3 linked regions of the Caenorhabditis elegans genome follow. The protein of the gene in region 1 interacts with the protein of each later gene in a pairwise test. Each region holds a gene or a part of one and is shown in the gene's direction. Other genes may lie near its edges.

What was found. The genes of interacting proteins can lie anywhere in the genome.
Region 2: the proteins of aap-1 (region 1) and Y45G5AL.1 interact in a two-hybrid assay, tested with the Caenorhabditis elegans proteins (one large-scale study listed by BioGRID).
Region 3: the proteins of aap-1 (region 1) and pgp-6 interact in a two-hybrid assay, tested with the Caenorhabditis elegans proteins (one large-scale study listed by BioGRID).

What each region holds. Positions count from the first base shown.
Region 1 is NC_003279.8:5,106,142-5,110,695, forward strand, and holds aap-1 (SH2 domain-containing protein), read left to right. Parts: upstream 1-1,701; 5' UTR 1,702-1,702; coding exon 1,703-1,875; intron 1,876-1,922; coding exon 1,923-2,182; intron 2,183-2,363; coding exon 2,364-2,629; intron 2,630-2,856; coding exon 2,857-3,288; intron 3,289-3,368; coding exon 3,369-3,806; 3' UTR 3,807-3,997; downstream 3,998-4,554. Other genes in the region: use-1 (Vesicle transport protein USE1), read left to right, coding at 152-247, 299-354, 405-480, 740-827, 872-1,006, 1,055-1,230, 1,280-1,417; Y110A7A.21 (MARVEL domain-containing protein), read right to left, coding at 3,998-4,138, 4,400-4,504, 4,549-4,554.
Region 2 is NC_003283.11:4,142,909-4,148,124, forward strand, and holds Y45G5AL.1 (Late endosomal/lysosomal adaptor and MAPK and MTOR activator 1), read left to right. Parts: upstream 1-1,596; 5' UTR 1,597-1,610; coding exon 1,611-1,810; intron 1,811-1,852; coding exon 1,853-2,021; intron 2,022-2,929; coding exon 2,930-3,062; intron 3,063-3,111; coding exon 3,112-3,350; intron 3,351-4,269; coding exon 4,270-4,356; 3' UTR 4,357-4,663; downstream 4,664-5,216. Other genes in the region: lgc-29 (Neurotransmitter-gated ion-channel ligand-binding domain-containing protein), read left to right, coding at 116-212; Y45G5AM.6 (Activin_recp domain-containing protein), read right to left, coding at 4,798-4,974.
Region 3 is NC_003284.9:10,870,648-10,877,864, reverse strand, and holds pgp-6 (P-GlycoProtein related), read left to right. Parts: upstream 1-1,563; 5' UTR 1,564-1,610; coding exon 1,611-1,703; intron 1,704-1,755; coding exon 1,756-1,912; intron 1,913-1,962; coding exon 1,963-2,072; intron 2,073-2,117; coding exon 2,118-2,251; intron 2,252-2,298; coding exon 2,299-2,595; intron 2,596-2,793; coding exon 2,794-2,965; intron 2,966-3,008; coding exon 3,009-3,122; intron 3,123-3,171; coding exon 3,172-3,786; intron 3,787-3,830; coding exon 3,831-3,920; intron 3,921-4,160; coding exon 4,161-4,257; intron 4,258-4,307; coding exon 4,308-4,591; intron 4,592-4,637; coding exon 4,638-5,000; intron 5,001-5,064; coding exon 5,065-5,169; intron 5,170-5,213; coding exon 5,214-5,342; intron 5,343-5,392; coding exon 5,393-5,857; intron 5,858-5,907; coding exon 5,908-6,111; intron 6,112-6,156; coding exon 6,157-6,519; 3' UTR 6,520-6,664; downstream 6,665-7,217.

The sequences.
Region 1 (4,554 bases):
AGTCCTCGACAAAAAGGATGACTTGAAAATTTTTTCGCGCATGAGCGCATTTGCATTTTTGTATTTCTCGGCCGTGGCCGAACTTATTTGTTTTCAAGTTGTCAACGTTTATTTTTATTTTTTTATCTAATTTTGTCAAAACATCAATGAAATGGCGTATATTTCTGAAAATGAGCTGAAATTTCTACGACTTCTCGAGCGAACAAAGCGCTTGACAAAAGAGGATATGTCAGCAAACGTTTGGAAAGCAAGTATCACATTTTAAGTTCTGTTTAATTAATTATTTTTCTTATTTCAGGTTTCTGCAGCTACAAAGATTCTCAATAAAATGATTTATACACTTCAAAACGATGAGTGAGTTTTTCAAAATACATTTTTTAATATTTATAGTTTTACTTTTCCAGAACCACAAATGATATTCTCCACGAGTACCGACAGGAAGTCTTGCAACTGAAATTACTCGCTGAAGCTGAAAGCAAGGTTTGTAGATATTTTAGACAAGCAAATTCGATCTTGTAATTTTGCTTTAAAGATACAAATTTTTACATAATTTCTAAACTTAATTTGAATTTGTTTGATTTGTTTCAATTAAAAATTTAATCCTAAAATATTATGCAAATGTTCCGTAGATTTTATGTCCCTCTTTTCAATTTAGATTTAAGTAAAGAAAACAAGTTGAACAGCTTTAAATATTTTGTGAATTTCGCAACTGTTATGAAATTGTCAGTAAGTTTTCCAGTCGTCAGCCGAGGAGCGCCTGAAAGTGATTGAAAAAATTCCACGTGTATTTCCCGATGTCCAAGTAACTGTTGCAGACTCCAAGAATGGTTTTTGAATTATTCAATATTTCATTTTAATGTTTATATTGCAGATAACGAGGCGGAAAGTTACGATTTTGAAAAAGAATCCGCAGCTGGACTCCGAGCTACTCAACGATCCATCTATCGATCAGATCTTCGGAAGCAGTTGCTTTCATCTAATAAACATAGAGCACAAGACACATCTGGTAAAAATTAGTATCCAATGATTGTTCAAAATTCGTCAAATTTTATAGAAGATCAGGAATTCATGAAAAATGAGCTTGTCGAGGAGGAGCTAGCAAATAGTTTGGCCACTATGGCGAGATCATTCAAAACGATGATGTCGGCTGCTGGAGATGTGATTAAAGAAGATACAGAAAGAGCAATATTAATGGCGAAAGAAGTCGATGATAATAAAACAGCTCTCGGGGTAATTTCTTCACTATATAAACTTCAAATAATAGTCTTAAAATTTCCAGATTCAAAGTGAGCGAGTTGAGCGTCACGCCTACAAATGTGGTTATGACTGTTTCAAGGTCATGCTCATTGTTCTGATTTTTATGAGCTTCGTATCAATGGTTCTTATGATGAAAATTTTCAAAAAAGCGAGCACTTAATAGTCGGGACGAATTGCTAGTATTTATGGGTGTAAATATTTCAAATAAAATTATTTAATTATTTGCATTCTTCGAATTTTTTTTCTCGTTGATATTTCCATTGGTCTACAGACCATGTTATACATACTTTTTTTGTTGGTTTTTTTTGGTGTTTTCACAAATTTCAATGCTTTGCTTTTTGGTCTCGGCTTGGTCTTGTGCCAGATTTAGTCTACTTCGGCAAAAACACCACAGATTCTTCTCCTCCGTTAATTATATATATATATATATATATAAGGATTCAGAATGAGCACAACACCTGGAACTCCTCATGGAGTCACTCATAGTCTTATGGAACAAGGATGGTACTGGGCTGATGCTGATAGATCTGCAGTTTCGAAAGCACTTTCTGATCAACCTGATGGATCATTTATTGTGAGAAATGCTAGTACACCTGGAGATTATACACTTTCTGTGAAGTGGGTTTTTCAAAATTAGTATTCAATATTAATAGTCCTTTTTTCAGATTTGCCGCCCAAGTGAAACTTCTCCGAATCGTTGTTAAAGATGGAAAATGCGGATTCAATACAGATTCATTAACTCACGATTCTGTTGTCAGATTAATTGAATTTCATCGAAATATTTCTCTCAATATTTTCAATGATGCACTTGATGTTCGTCTTTTATATCCAGTTTCTGTTCGTCGTAACTCTCAAAATGGAAAACCATTTTTCAAGAAGGGGCAACTTCAGCAGCGTATGATTCTCAGTGCAAAAAATGATCATGGTAAATTATTTTATAACGCAAACGCTAAATTTAAAAATACTGTAATTTCAAACTTTAATTGCTGCGGAATTTCTCTTGTCGTTTCAAGACCTCGTACCATATTTTTATCGCGAAAGTGGCAAAATTTCGCGTCTGAGTGATTGAAAAAAATAAAAATTAGTAAATTTAATGCTTTTTTTAGATTGGAGAGAACGCTTGGAAATGGAAAATTTGAGAGCAGTACATTTGGCATTTGAGAGAGGAGCCAAGCTATATGATTCAGCTCATCAAGAAATGGAACGAGCTGAAAGTCTCTATCATGCTTTGAATCAATCAGTTCGGGACAATGAGATTAAACTTGGAAAACTGAATAATTTGTTAGAAGCTGAAACAGACGTCGTTACACAAATACAGGGATCGCAGACAACAAGTGAAATGCTCAAAGGAGCATTTGCAAATAATAAGACAGTAAGCGTTTTTTGAAGAAAAAAAACATCCAAAACCAAAAAAAAACAATTCTAAAGCAAAAAAAAGAAGTTCAATTTAAAATTGTTATTTAGCCAAAACTCAATATTTTCAAAGCTGGATTATTAATTTTTGCTCAATTTTTTTCTCGGTTTTTTAAAAATGATTTTAGAGCAAATCCTCAATTTTTAACCATTATAGTTTTGAATTTTATCTTTTTTATTTTGCAGTTTGTGGAAGAAAGTATTCGACGAATAAACACTGAACTGACGTCATCAAAGGATAAGAAAAAGACGCTCTCCGGAATTTTGGATGAAATCGCGATGAAAAGATCCAATTCAAAAACACGACTCTGCAAGCTTATGGAACTTCGTAGTGCAGTCTATGATAAAATGGAACCAGCACTTTGTTCGAGAATGGCTGCAATGCTTGATGCTGGAGCGGAAATGATAAACAGTGAGCCAACGAAAGTCACTCAACTTCTTGTCGATATGGAATTGAAGTGGACACCGGCACAATATTTGATGTGTGGAACTTCTAAGGAAAATGCTGCGAATGCTCTGATTCATGCTCGCTATCGGATCGCTCAACTTGACAAGGCTGTTGGATTGAAAAGAGAGCCACAAGATGGTATTTTCTTGATTCGAGGATCCTCTTCTCATGTTAGTTTATGATTTTATCAGAAGAATAACTTTTCATCCTCATTCACGCTAATTTTTGAATTGAATTGAATATTTTTCAGGGTGATAAGCTCGTATTGAGTGTACTTCACGGAGAACGTGTCTCACATTGTCTAATCGAACAAAACGAAGAAGGATGGGGATTCGAGCACAGCAATGTCTACCTGACAACTATAAGTGACTTCGTTCGCTATTACTCTCACTTCAGTCTTGAAACCCACGCGGATGCTATCAAAACTCCACTTCGTACGCCCGCATTTGACGCTGTCACAAGTGATACTTCAAAACCTCTTCGTAACGGACCCGGACAAGTTTTTACGGCTTTGCCAATATCCAGGAAATATATGGAGAAGGCTCTTCTCACTGATGATCCCACTAAGCCACCTGAATCACCGGAACCAAGACCGGATTCATGGGATTCTCCATCTCCGGATACTCCTTCATCATCTGATTCCCGATTGGTTCATCCAACTACTCTTCCTAAATCCATCCCGGAATAGTTATATATTTAAATCAATTACTTACATATACTCGGTTCAATTACATCCACTTGTCCCCCATCCGATCTGATAGTAAACCCACAGTTCTCTGATCACTTTCTTCTAAGTTACTTACGTTTTATTTGTGTCTTAAATGTATTTATTATCAGTATTTATATGAATTGTCAAATTGTACATTTATTGATATAAATTCAAATCCGTCGGCGGTTCATCCGCGTATTAAATCGCACAACATTCTCCTCCTGTTTAACAGTAATATGACCTTTCGTTTGGTTTTTCATCACATGTAACAGACTGAGAAGAAACGAGACTGTCACCAAAGCGCAGACAACCTGAAATTGATTTTCTTTCGCGCTCCACGGCAATTTGAAAACGCTCCGCCCCCAAACCATGGGTCTCGTTAGGTATTTGGAGGCGAATCCGTACATTCAAATGTTTTTATTTTCATTTTTGCTTATTTCGCCAAAGTGGCGGAATTAAGTCAAAAAGTTTGAATTTACGGTTTTGCCGACAAATATCTAACGAGACCCATGGTTTGGGGGCGGGCGTTGTCAATTGCCGTGGAGCGCGTTTTCACATTTTGCATAACATACCGTTGCCAGCCACCAGGCCGTATTATTCCATCGAATCGAACTGTACAACATGGTCAGTGTATTGATTGTGAACAAAAATGAGAATGATGAAATGAAGACGCTTTCCTGTAGAAAACTCGAAAAAAATAAATAATTCAATATATTCTTACCCAAAA
Region 2 (5,216 bases), on another chromosome or scaffold:
GCTATGAGTTTTCGCTATATTTTGCGCGTCAAATATGTTGCGCAGTACGATTTCTCAAAATTTTGTGTTACCGTAATAATTAGTGTTTTTTTCTCAAAAAATATCAATATTTCAGCTGGGAACGAATAAAGTTCTATTTCAAAGTGGAGTACGTCTTTATGTTGGTCTTCCAAATTGCAAACTTTGTCAATTTTATCATTATTTTCACCTGATAAGCCGCCGCTGTCGAATAAACTTTTTTGATAAGACCACCGAATTCTGAATGTTTTCCCACATAATTTACACGATTTATTGATTTTTTCTCCGATTTTCTGGGCCTAAATTCGTATAAATATTGTTTCCAAAAACCTTTTTATTTATCATGTGACCAGCTTTATTGGATGTGTGTGGCAGCGAGACAGCGCGCGTTTCGCAGAGACGCAGAGATTCGAGAGTTCAATGGAGCGCGCTTTCACCCTTTTGTTTTTATCATTTTCAATGTTGATTTTGCCCATTTTTACCTGTTTGTTCTTTGTATTTTCGTTTTTTTAAAGGCAATTTGGAGTTCTAAAATGAATTTTAAAGATTTTTAAAAATTAAAATTCAATGAAAACGCAGAAAAAACATGAAAATTTAGCTGGAATACTTAATTCTCTCACTTTTTCCACATTTCATGCCATTTGAAAGTAATTTTGCGTTTTTGAACGCACTTTTTCGCTAAAATTAATTAAATGTTTTAAAATCCGCATTCAGGAAAGAATGCACTCATCAACCGTAATTTCCGCTAGAAAATTGAAAAATCCGGGTTTTTTTGCTGTTATTAGCTGAAAATAAGCCCAAAGTGGTTTATTTTGTTTAAAAATATAATTTACGACTGCTGAAACACGGAAAAGATAGCAAAATTTAAAGATTTTAGCCGAAATTTTTTTTTTTCGATTTTTGAACCGCCATAAAAAATTTGTGGGGTTTTTGAAAAATCTAATTACGAAATTCTCCTTTAAAGATTGTGCAGTCGAATTTTTATTGCTTTATTTGATCCAAAATTGTCTGAAAAAGCCGAATTTCAAAATGAAACTTCTTGAAAACTTCTCAAAAACTGGCCTAAAATTAGTTAAAATTTGAAATTTGACTTGTCAGCGGCTGGGAGCTATTTTTTTTGAAATCACCGTCAAATTGTGGGTTTACAATTTAATTATCGTGCGTTTTCAACTCGATTTAGGTATTTTAAAGTCGATGAACGGCGAGATTTTTTTAAAAAATTTCACCAAATCTCGCTTTAAAATACCTAAATCGAGTCGAAAACGCAATTACATTGTATACTCAAAATTTGACGGTGATTTCAAAAAAAATGGTTTCAGCCGCTGACAAGTCAAATTTCAAATTTTAACTAATTTTAGGCCATTTTTTGAGCCGTCATAAATTTTTTTGAGAAGTTTTCAAGAAGTTTCATTTTGAAATTCGGCTTTTTCAGACAATTTTGAGTCTAATCAAGCAATAAAAATTCGACTAAATACGCCACCTTTAAATAGTGATTTTTTTTTCAATTTTGAGCGATTTTTACTACTCGTAAATGGATTTAATTTCTATTTTCCCCCTAAATACCTTCAATTTTTCCAGATTCATCTCTAAACATGGATGGTATTTTCCGCCTATTCTGTGGATGCTGCGGAATACAAGGCGAAGAAGAGCCGCCATACTCACAGCTCCGCCACGATTCGGTCACCCCGATTCGTGATCCACCACTCCAGCAGGGAAATCGCCAGGCGACGAATGGAGCACATCAGCATAATCCTCTTCAGCATCAAGGATTCGTGAATCCGGTTCACGAATAGTATGTTTTATCCGGCCAAAATCGTTGCAACTCTTGAGAAAGTTACAGTAATTACGACGCCACCGATGGGCCGAACATGTATCCATCGGACCATCATGGAATGCATTCGGACTCGGCGTCACCACCATCCGGTGATTTTGATGAGGAGATCGTTGAGGATGAGGGCCGTGAAAAGGAGCAGCTTGACAATATTGTCGAGAGCACGCAGCACGTATGGAATTTTTTTTCCCGGCAAATGCTCAAAACTGGCCAAATCCGGAGTTTTAAGCTAGAATTTGACCTGTTTTCGGAAATTTTCAGTATGGTTCATCACGAAAATCAGTAGTTTTGGGCGTTTTGATGTTGGAAAATTGAAAAAAAAAGAAAATCATAAATTTCTTGATAATCCAATTTTTGATCTAAAATTGATATACTTGATATAACGTAGAAAAAAAGTTGTTCTATCTAAAAAATAACGTTAATTTTTGTTGAAAAGCTTGAAAAATACCTCAAATCGGCACTATTTTAGGTCTTTTCAAGCGTTTCAACAAAAATTATCGTTATTTTTGGATCGAACAACCTGTTTTCCGCATTTCTATATCAATTTTAGAACAAAAAATTGGATTATCATGTCGAAATCAGCCATTTTTGTGCAGTTCCTGGAAAAAGCTGCATAACCGAATATATGTGAAAAATATATAATCTTCCAAAATTAAAACGCCTAAACCTACCGAAATTCGTAATGAACCATACTGAACGTACTGAAAATTTCTCAAAAAAAGCCATATTGGTTCAAAATTTCGAAAAAAAACGTCAAATTCTAGCTTAAAACTCCAATTTTGGTCACTTTTTTCGTCTCGCAGCAGTCCGAAGTTGACTTTTTTTTAGAAATCCCGTTATTTCATTGATTAAAGTTAATTTTATTAATTTTTCAGCTTAATCAACATAATATATATATATTTCAAAAAAGTAAACTTCGGACTGTTGCGACACGGAAAAGTGGCCAAAATTGGACTTTTAAGCTAGAATTGGCCATTTTTCCGAAATTTTCACCACAAAATTTGGTAGCTCTGGCCGTTTTGGGTCTAAATAACCAAAAAAAAACCTAACAATAATTAATTTTAAAAATCAATATTACAGAGCATCATCGCTGTTGGACAAACCGACGTTGATGGTGTTATCATGCCGGATACACAATACCGCGAGAAGGCATATCGGGCGAAAGTTCAAAAGATGGCGTGTGCTCCACCGTCGGTTATTCATTACACTACAAGTAACTCTGCAGATTTTCAGAAAAAAAACATTATTTTTTCAATTTTCAGTTTATGATTTCGAGTTTGAGCCGACACAGACGCCGATCCAAGTTCCCATCAGATATGACGAGATATCTGCAACAATAGAGCCGTCGCCAATCGAGCGGATGCCATTCTCGGCTCCGGATTTCAATCAGTTGAAGCTTGCAAGAACTATGGGCGCCAAGAATCCACAATTCCTTGTCGAGCATCCAGATCTGAAGTCTGCTGGAAGATCTCAGGGAATCACCAGTTCCATGAAGGCGAAGGTTATTATTTTTGTATGCTCTGCCGAGCATAAAAAAGGCCTAAAAATGAAGTGAAACTCCTGCGTAGACTTGCGTGGTCTTGCATAGAAATCTAGGATTCTTGCCAGAATCTTGCGTAGCTTTTCGGCCGGAAGTTTTCAGTTTTGGGCAAATTGCATGTTTTCCGATTTGCCGGAAAATTTAATTTTTGCCAAATTGCCGTTTTGCCGGAAATTTTTTTTTTTGGTAAATTGCTGTTTTGCCGGAAATTTTCTTTTTTCGTAAATTGCCGGTTTACCAATTTGCCAGAAATTCTCATTTTCGGTAAGTTTCCGATTTGCCGGAAATGTTCATTTTCGGCAAATAGATGTTTTGCCAATTTCCCAGAAATTTTCATTTTCGGCAAACTGCCGATTTGCCAGAAATTTTCATTTTTGCCAAATTGCTGTTTGTCGATTTACCGGAAATTTTCATTTTTGGCAAGTTGCCGGTTTGCCAGAAATTTTCATTTTTGGCAAATTGTCGATTTGCCGGAAATTTTCATTTCTGGCAAATTGCCGATTTGCCGGTTGGCCGGAAACTGTCATTTACGGCAGGTTGCCGATTTGCCGGAAATGTTCATTTTTGGCAAATTATCGATTTTCCGGACTTTTTTCATTTTTGGCAATTGCCAGAAATTATCAATTTTGAAAAATTGCCGATTTGCGGGAAATTTTCATTTTTGGCGAATTGCCGGTTTGTCAATTTGCCATATATTCTTATTTTCGGCAAATTGTCATTTGGAAAATTGCCAGTTTGCCAATTTGCCGGAAATTTTCATTTTTGGCAAATTGCCGATTTGCCGGAAATTTTATTTTCTTTCCATTTTCACGGATCGGCAATTCAATTTCAAAAGTACAAGTTTTCATAATTTAGATTTAAAATTTTAAAAAATTTCCAGGTAACTCAAGTCCTCGACGAAGTTCACCAAGGTGTCGTTGGAGTTGAAGTGGAACCACGCGATCTGATTGTCAGCATGGATTTCTGAATATCTGACCAACTTCCCCATCTCTCGTGTGATGATGATAACCCGATAACTTATCAAAAATGAATACAAGTACCCCCGCCCAAAAAATTAATTTTTTCCAATTTCCAGTGTTTCGTGTATCTTATCGTTATTCTTTTCCCAGTCTCTCGCGTCGCCCAAACATTTTTTTCCAATTTTCACCAAAAATTTAAATTTTTTTCTTCCCCCGTTTTTCTATGTATGCTATGTTAGTTCCGCCCGTCCCCAAGCCCAAGCCAATCCAAGAGAACTTGTCAAAAATTGCAACAAAAAAAATGACTTCTTATTGAAATTCAATTGTATATATATATATAGGAAATATGTACCAGTAGATTCGGGGAGTTTATGGTTTTTTTGTGAAGAGGGGAGAAATTGTTTCAGATATGTCAAACGATATACGATTTTTGGCGGCGGCGGTGGTGACTATGCGAGGAAGTGATGATAGAGAACAGCTGGGAGCAGCAGCAACACGTGAACGATTTGGAGCAATTTTGGTGACGTGGCAGTCAAGGAGTCGCTATTGCAAAGATTTCCACGACATGCACAGTGAATTTCTTCGTATTCGTCGGATATCCATTTTTTGGAGCAACCGATTTGGATCTGGAAATTGAGATTTTGAAATTCTGGGCAGTGGAGCGCATTTGCTCTTCTCTTCTTTTTTTTCTGTGTCATTTTTGCCTTTTTAGGTTAAAAAATGCTTAAAATTACGTTTTTTTTCTAAAGCAAGTGCGCTCCAGTTAACTGAGCGATTCCGGGTGTCAGGTTGTCCCATAACGGTTTGATCTACAAAAAATGCGGGAATTTTTTCCGACGTCAGCACGTTCTTGAGGAATCAGTTAAGA
Region 3 (7,217 bases), on another chromosome or scaffold:
TTGGATGAACGTAATCACAAAAAAACTTTTTACAGAACTTCATTTCAATTTTTTTATTTTCTACAGTATACAAATAAAATGTTTTTCTTCTTTATTATTATGCCTTTCCTGTGTAGTCAGTCATTGTATATACTTACAATTTTTTATCACAATTTCAAACATAATTTAAATTTCTGCTAGTACAACACATACATTCTAGTTTCTTATCAAACTTTGTTCATTTGATCTCACACGAAGTGACGTTTTCTCAAACAATTATCTGTAAAACAAATGTTCTAATGCAAGAGGCGGGTCGATATTTGTCCACTGCCGTTAGTCTGCATCAGAATTGAGTAGTATTGCGCAATACCATCCAATACTTGAGCAATACATAAAAGTAGTAATTTCAGATTTTTCTTCCTACTCTTCTGCTTATCTAAAACAATACATTAATTGGAAGATGGACAAGTAAGTTGCGAATGTTTTGTTTACCAAAAGGTCTCCACATTTATCAAGTCAATGCTGCAAAAGAGGACACTAGTCTTTCTCATTCTGCGTCTGTTCTTCATGCTGGTCTCTCGTTTTTTTTCTTCATCTTGCGTTTCATTTCGAATATTAGAATGATAAAAAACAATAATATTTGTAGCAAGTTATTTACATTTGCCAAAAACAATGTAACTTACCGGAGTAAATGACAACTGTTAGATATAAATACTCATCAAACTGTATATAAATTTCTGTTTATTTTTGAGTACAAAATCGTAATCTGAGTATTTTCTTTCAAACAATTTAATTTTTCATTATCAGTCACTTTTGAACCAGACTTTGAATAAATTGTTGAAGCCACTTCAGCTTAAAGGTGGAGAAGCGCCAGTGAATATTTTTCATAAATTAACTCATAATCATTTAAAACGATTTAATATCATAATAAAACACTTCAAAAATTTTTAAATTTTCAAAATTTCCAATCAAAGTTTTGACAAATTTCCAAATTTTTATAAAATATGCAATTTTGAAAAAATCCAGAGCAATGTCACATGTTCCAACTCCCAGAATGTTTTAACACAAATAATCAGAAAAAAAAAATTAGAGTATAACAATCGTAGAAAAATTTGTTTTGGTCGACTTCTAATTTTATGATTATCCAAAACTGATTAATTTCCATATTTTGACTGTAAATAAAAACATTCCGAAATTTTTTGAAGAGTTTCATTATGATATTTAGTAATTTTTGCACCATATGAGTAGTTTTTAGCATTTTTCGCGCAAGTGCTACTCCACTTTTAAGCTAGTACAATACAATATACTTTTCAGCTTCTGATCAAATGTTGTTTATTTGATCTTGCACTATACATCAACAGCTTACGTTTCAGTTTCTTAAAACTATTTTCTAATCTGAAATAAGACACCAATTGTAAAATCGGCACGAAAGGGTATTGTCTATTGGCCAGAATGTCAACCTTTTCTATTTGATGATGAACTCGAGTACACTAGTTTTTATCAGTCTCAGTCTAGTCCATAAGTTAATCTTTTTCTGTTCTTCCTCCATCATTCGTCTGTTTCTAAATATTAATATAATAACAGAAACAATAAAGAGGCACAATTGAAGATAACTAACAGTATGGTCAATAATGGAAGAAAATTCGAATAATTTCAGTACTCCTCTCTTGCCTCAATCAGATGAAAAGAAACCATCACAGATATGCAGTTTTATTCGTGTTGTTGTGAGTTTTATGTAGTGCACAGTCATCATTATTCACTTGTTTTTTATTCCAGTTTAAATGCTCATCATGTTTCGAAAAGTTTTTGTTTCTACTTGGAGTGCTTTTCTCTTTGATGACGGGTTTTTGCCAACCGTTTATGAGCTACACATTTGGAGAAGTTTCTCAAGTCCTGGTAACAATAACAAATGCAATTAACAACAAAACTATTGGTATGATAACATATATTAGTATTTGTAATACATTGCATAAACTTGTTTAGACCCTGCCGATCTCGAAAAAGCATATGAAGAGTATGAGCGCGGAATGAACCAGGTCGTCTTTCATTTCTTTTTATGCGGATGCGCGTATTTTATTTTTGCATCTCTACAGGTAAAAAGTGACAACAGCAAACCCCATTTATGCCCAAATTTTAAGCACGCTATCATGAAATACGTTGGAGACAACACGACATATCGCGTTCGAAAACAATATATATCACGCTTATTAAAAAAAGATGCTCAGTATTTTGATAGCGTGTCGACTGGACATTTGTCCACTGTATTAAATGAGTAAGTTTACCTTGACAAAAAAAATTAAAACGTTGTCATACTTTCAGCAACTTGGAACGTTTCCGAGAAGTATTTAATGAGAAAATTGCACTCATAATCGCATTTGTTACTGATTTTACACTTGGAACTGCATTAGCATTTTATACAGATTGGCGTCTGGCTTCGTATGGAATCTTTTTTTCACTTGGAATTGCATTTTCTGGGTTTATAAACTCAGCAGGTGTAATGAAGACAACTGGAAAACAGAACACGCATTATGCTAACGCTGGGTCCATAGCCTTCCAGACACTTGGTGCATACAAAACAGTTTGTTCTTTGAATGGCCAGAAAACTGAGATTGAAAGGTAAGTTCAAAATAACCACATACTGTCGTGAAAAAAGCTCAGTTTGTACGTTAGAAAATTTAATGCAAATTTTTTCAATTGAAACTTATGATTTCATTTGAAAAAATTAAAAAAAAAACAAATAAATTGTATTCGCCTGTTGTTTAAAAAATAGTAGCAGCACAATCAGTGTCACAACCAATGAATTTTTAAACACAGATATACAGAAGAACTGAAGGCTGGAGAAAAATATGGTATTCGTAGAGCTCTTATGTACTCCATTTCGAGAGGTGTCACTTACTTTTTCTGTAACAGCTTGAACACTGTTGTTCTCTATGTTGGAGCAACTATGATTTATTCTGGTACACTGGAAACAGCGGTCGTTGTTAGGGTATGATTTCATTCAATACTTACATCTGAATAGTTTTTTGAAGCTTTTCCACTATATGTTGTTTGGAGCCTTCTGTCTTAGTGAAGCACTGCCTCATATCTCCCGCCTAGCTGGTGCAATTTCTTCCACAGCACCCATTGCAGAGATGCTGATTAAAGTGAGTTTGATAGGAAAGTGCAAACAATAATTTACCAATTTTGATTTAGGATGACAACGTTATCGAAAAAGACGAGACAGACTACGACGTGGAAGTGGAAGTTAATGGAAATATTTCTTTCAAAAATGTAAAATTCTCGTACCCAACTCGACCAGATGCACAAGTTTTGAAAGGAATCTCGTTTGATGTTCAAAATGGAGAATGTATCGCTTTAGTTGGTGCTAGTGGAAGTGGTAAAAGTACTGTAGTGCAGTTACTCCTTCATTACTACAATATTGATTCTGGAAATATATTTATTGATGGAATGGATTTGAACGATATGAATATCAAAAGACTTCGTCGAGTGATTGGAGTCGTTTCCCAAGAACCAGTACTTTTTAATACTACGATAGAGGAAAATATTAGATTTGGAAACCCAAATGTGTCTTTACCGGAAATCTATGGAGCCTTAAGAAAAGCAAATGCTTATGATTTTGTGTGCTCTTTTCCAAAAGGGATCAAAACAATAGTTGGCGAGAGAGGTACACAGCTTTCTGGAGGACAAAAGCAAAGAATCGCAATTGCACGAACGTTGGTTCGAAATCCAAAAATTCTTCTTCTCGATGAGGCAACCAGTGCATTGGATAATGAAAGTGAGCAAGTTGTACAGAAAGCACTTGAAAACGTTAGTTTACATACTAATATCTGAAAGTATAAACGTGTATACAGGCGTCGCAAGGAAGAACAACTATAGTTGTGGCACATCGATTATCAACAATCAGAAATGCCAGTAAAATTATTGTGATGCAAAAAGGAGAGGTGAGTAATTTGATAAATAATTTGATCACTGTTAGTTTCTGAACGCCAAGAAGGGGAATTCCGGTGTACCAGGGGTTCTTTAAAAGGTAACAGAGAAATAGTGATCGCTCTAAAAAAAAGTTAACCTCAGGGTTGCGCTTTCTCAAAAACACAATTAGGAACAATGAAGTTTACAGATTTTTCATTAGACATAGAGTGAGTGATTCAACAATTCAAAAGTCTAGAAACATAATTTTACAGATTGTTGAAGTTGGGAATCATGATGAGCTAATTGCGAAACGAGGTGTGTACAATGATCTAGTTCAAGCCCAATTGTTAGAATCTCACGATGACCATGGTAAGAAATATCTGCTACATCATTCAATTTCTAAAATTGTTTGGGTTTAGAAGAGCTTCCACCACTTGCTGCAAGACAACTATCACAAGAGTTATCACCATTACATAGTTATGCAATTCAAAGAAGTACAAGTAATGACGCAGGTGTTCATGACGATGATATGGAACGAATATTAGATGAACTCAGCAAAGAAGGAGCAAAGAAATCAAATCTCAGAGAAATTGTGAAGCAATGTCGACCAGACTACTGTTTCTTATTTATTGCAGTTTTTGGAAGTGCCATACAAGGAGTTAGCTATCCTATACTGGCTCAATTGATAGTACGAACATATGAAGTGAGTTCGCTTTGTGATTCACTTTTATCATTGTTTTAAATGTTAGGGGTTCGCGATGATTGGTGAAGACATGCTCTACTACAGTCACCTTTGGGCGCTATCTTTCATGTTTCTGGCTGTGTTCCGTCCACTTACATTATATTGTCAATATTACTACTTTGGAAAAGTTTCTGAACAATTATCCACACGACTCCGCATCAAGTCGTTCAGTCATATGTTGTCACTTCCATGCGCATTTTACGATGATCCCAATCACTCTGCAACTCGATTGTCTAACAGATTGAATACGGATTCTTCTAATGTCAAGGCAGCAGTAGATGATCGGCTGGGATGTGTCATCATGACTGTGGTAGCAATTTCAATCGCAATTACAACTGCTTCCTTGTACTGTTGGAAAATGACTCTAGAGGTTAGTCGGAGATTGATAAACGACAACATTACAAAAGAGTTGTGCTACTAACTTATTGTTTCAGGTATTGATGTTTTTCCCATTGTTGTACCTGGCTGAATATTGTTACGAAGCAGCCACCGAAACCGCTATCCAAGAAGATACAATCGCCTTTGAAAATAGTAACAGAGTAAGTTCGATAGAACCTGACGGGTTTTATATGCAAATGTTTAGACTGCGATTGAAGCGTTGGAAAATGTGAGAACAGTTCGAGCACTTAATTTGGAAGATAAAATAATGTCTTTAATATCTGAACATCTACAAAAAATTCACAAATCTTATTTCAAAAGAGCCATTATTCAAGTAAGTTTTGACGTGTTTTTTTTGAAACAAAGCAAACCAATATCGTTCAGGGTGCTGCAAACGGTCTCTCTCTTAGTTGTTTCTTGTTTGTGTACTCGGTTTCTTTCAAATTTGGAACATATTTAGCTTTACGGAAAGAAGTAGCTCCAATGGATACTTATCTTGTTTTAATGACTCTTTCCATGACAGCTAATATGGCTGGATCTGCAGCTGCATATCTCCCAGATTACAAAAAAGCAGTTCATGCAGCTGGATTAATATTCCATTTGTTCACATATCCAGCTACGATGCCATTCAGTTCCAGTGATGGAAAGAAAAATATTGAAAAGGGAGAAATTATTGGAGAGAATGTTCAATTTCATTATGATCAACGGCCGGATCGTATGATATTGAATGGTGTTAATCTGAAAGTAGACCCAGGAAAAACCCTTGCTCTTGTTGGTCCAAGTGGTTGTGGAAAGTCGACAATCATTTCATTGCTAGAGAGGTTCTATCACGCAGTTGATGGAGAAGTCGTAAGCATTGATGCGCACGTGTAGAACTTTTAATTCCTAGTTCACTTCAGAAAATTGACAGCGAAAACGTCGAGGATATCAATTTGAACCACCTTCGATCTAATTTAGCTCTGGTATCACAAGAGCCAACTCTGTTCAACTGTTCAATCAGAGAGAACCTTTTGTATGGGCTCACAAGATCCGTGCCACAGTTAGAACTTGAAAAGGCTTTGCAAACGGCAAATGCGTTCAACTTTGTATTTCAGTTCCCACAGGCTAGTTTCAACTGTGCTCAACTTACATAAACTATTTCTTTACAGGGTCTGGACACACTTGTTGGTGAACGTGGAGCTCAGTTATCCGGTGGTCAAAAACAAAGGATTGCGATTGCTCGAGCAATCCTGAGAAATCCAAAAGTTCTTCTATTGGATGAAGCGACTAGTGCTCTGGACAGTGACAGTGAAAAAGTAGTTCAAAATGCTCTTGACACTGCAAGTGAGAGACTATCCACTGTTGTTGTTGCACATCGGCTATCAACAGTAGTCAATGCAGATTCCATTGCTGTTCTGAAAAACGGAAAAGTTGCAGAACAAGGAACACATGAAGAACTATTAAGGAAAAGAAGTATATACTGGAGACTTGTACAAAAACAAGGAATTCAAGTGGAGACACCATCCGATTAATTATTTCATTTAAAAATTTTATAGTTGTTTGTTTTTTTGTAGCTGTTTTCATTGTTTTATTTATTTGCCTCTTTTCAGAGGCAGTGTTTATTTTTTAAAAATATTTGAACAGAAGCCTATGTTGGTTATAAATTGTTTAACATTTTCTAGCTTTGATCCTGATTCCTTGGAATGATCATATCCTTTGTTTGGTGCGGTATTACACATACGCCCTCGTTTTTTGAAATACAGTTTTCAACAAAAAACGTGTCAAACATATTTTTAATTTCAGACAGAATAAATAAGATTAATTCCAATAGCATGGATATATGAAAGAAAAGATGTGTGGATAGCTACAATACAGTTTAATCCAGAAACTCACATTTGTAAAAATTGCTAGTTAATACGTTTTGATGCAAATTATGTTAAACAACGGATAAATTGACTCTAAATACATTTTTCTGTTTCAATCAATCACTTTAATACTACCCTATTGTCACGAACAACTGTGTTTTCTGCTCGATTTTGTCTGCAAAAACTGTGTTTTCTGTTGAAAATGTTTTGCAAGGACTGTGTTTTCTTCTTAATTTTTTGCTGCATTTAATCATTTTTTTTGTATTCAGTATTAAAACTGTTATATCACTATCATACTAAACTTAAGCTTTGGATTGCACAATACACGTTTTCTAGCTTTTTATCGAATTTTATTCATTCATTCT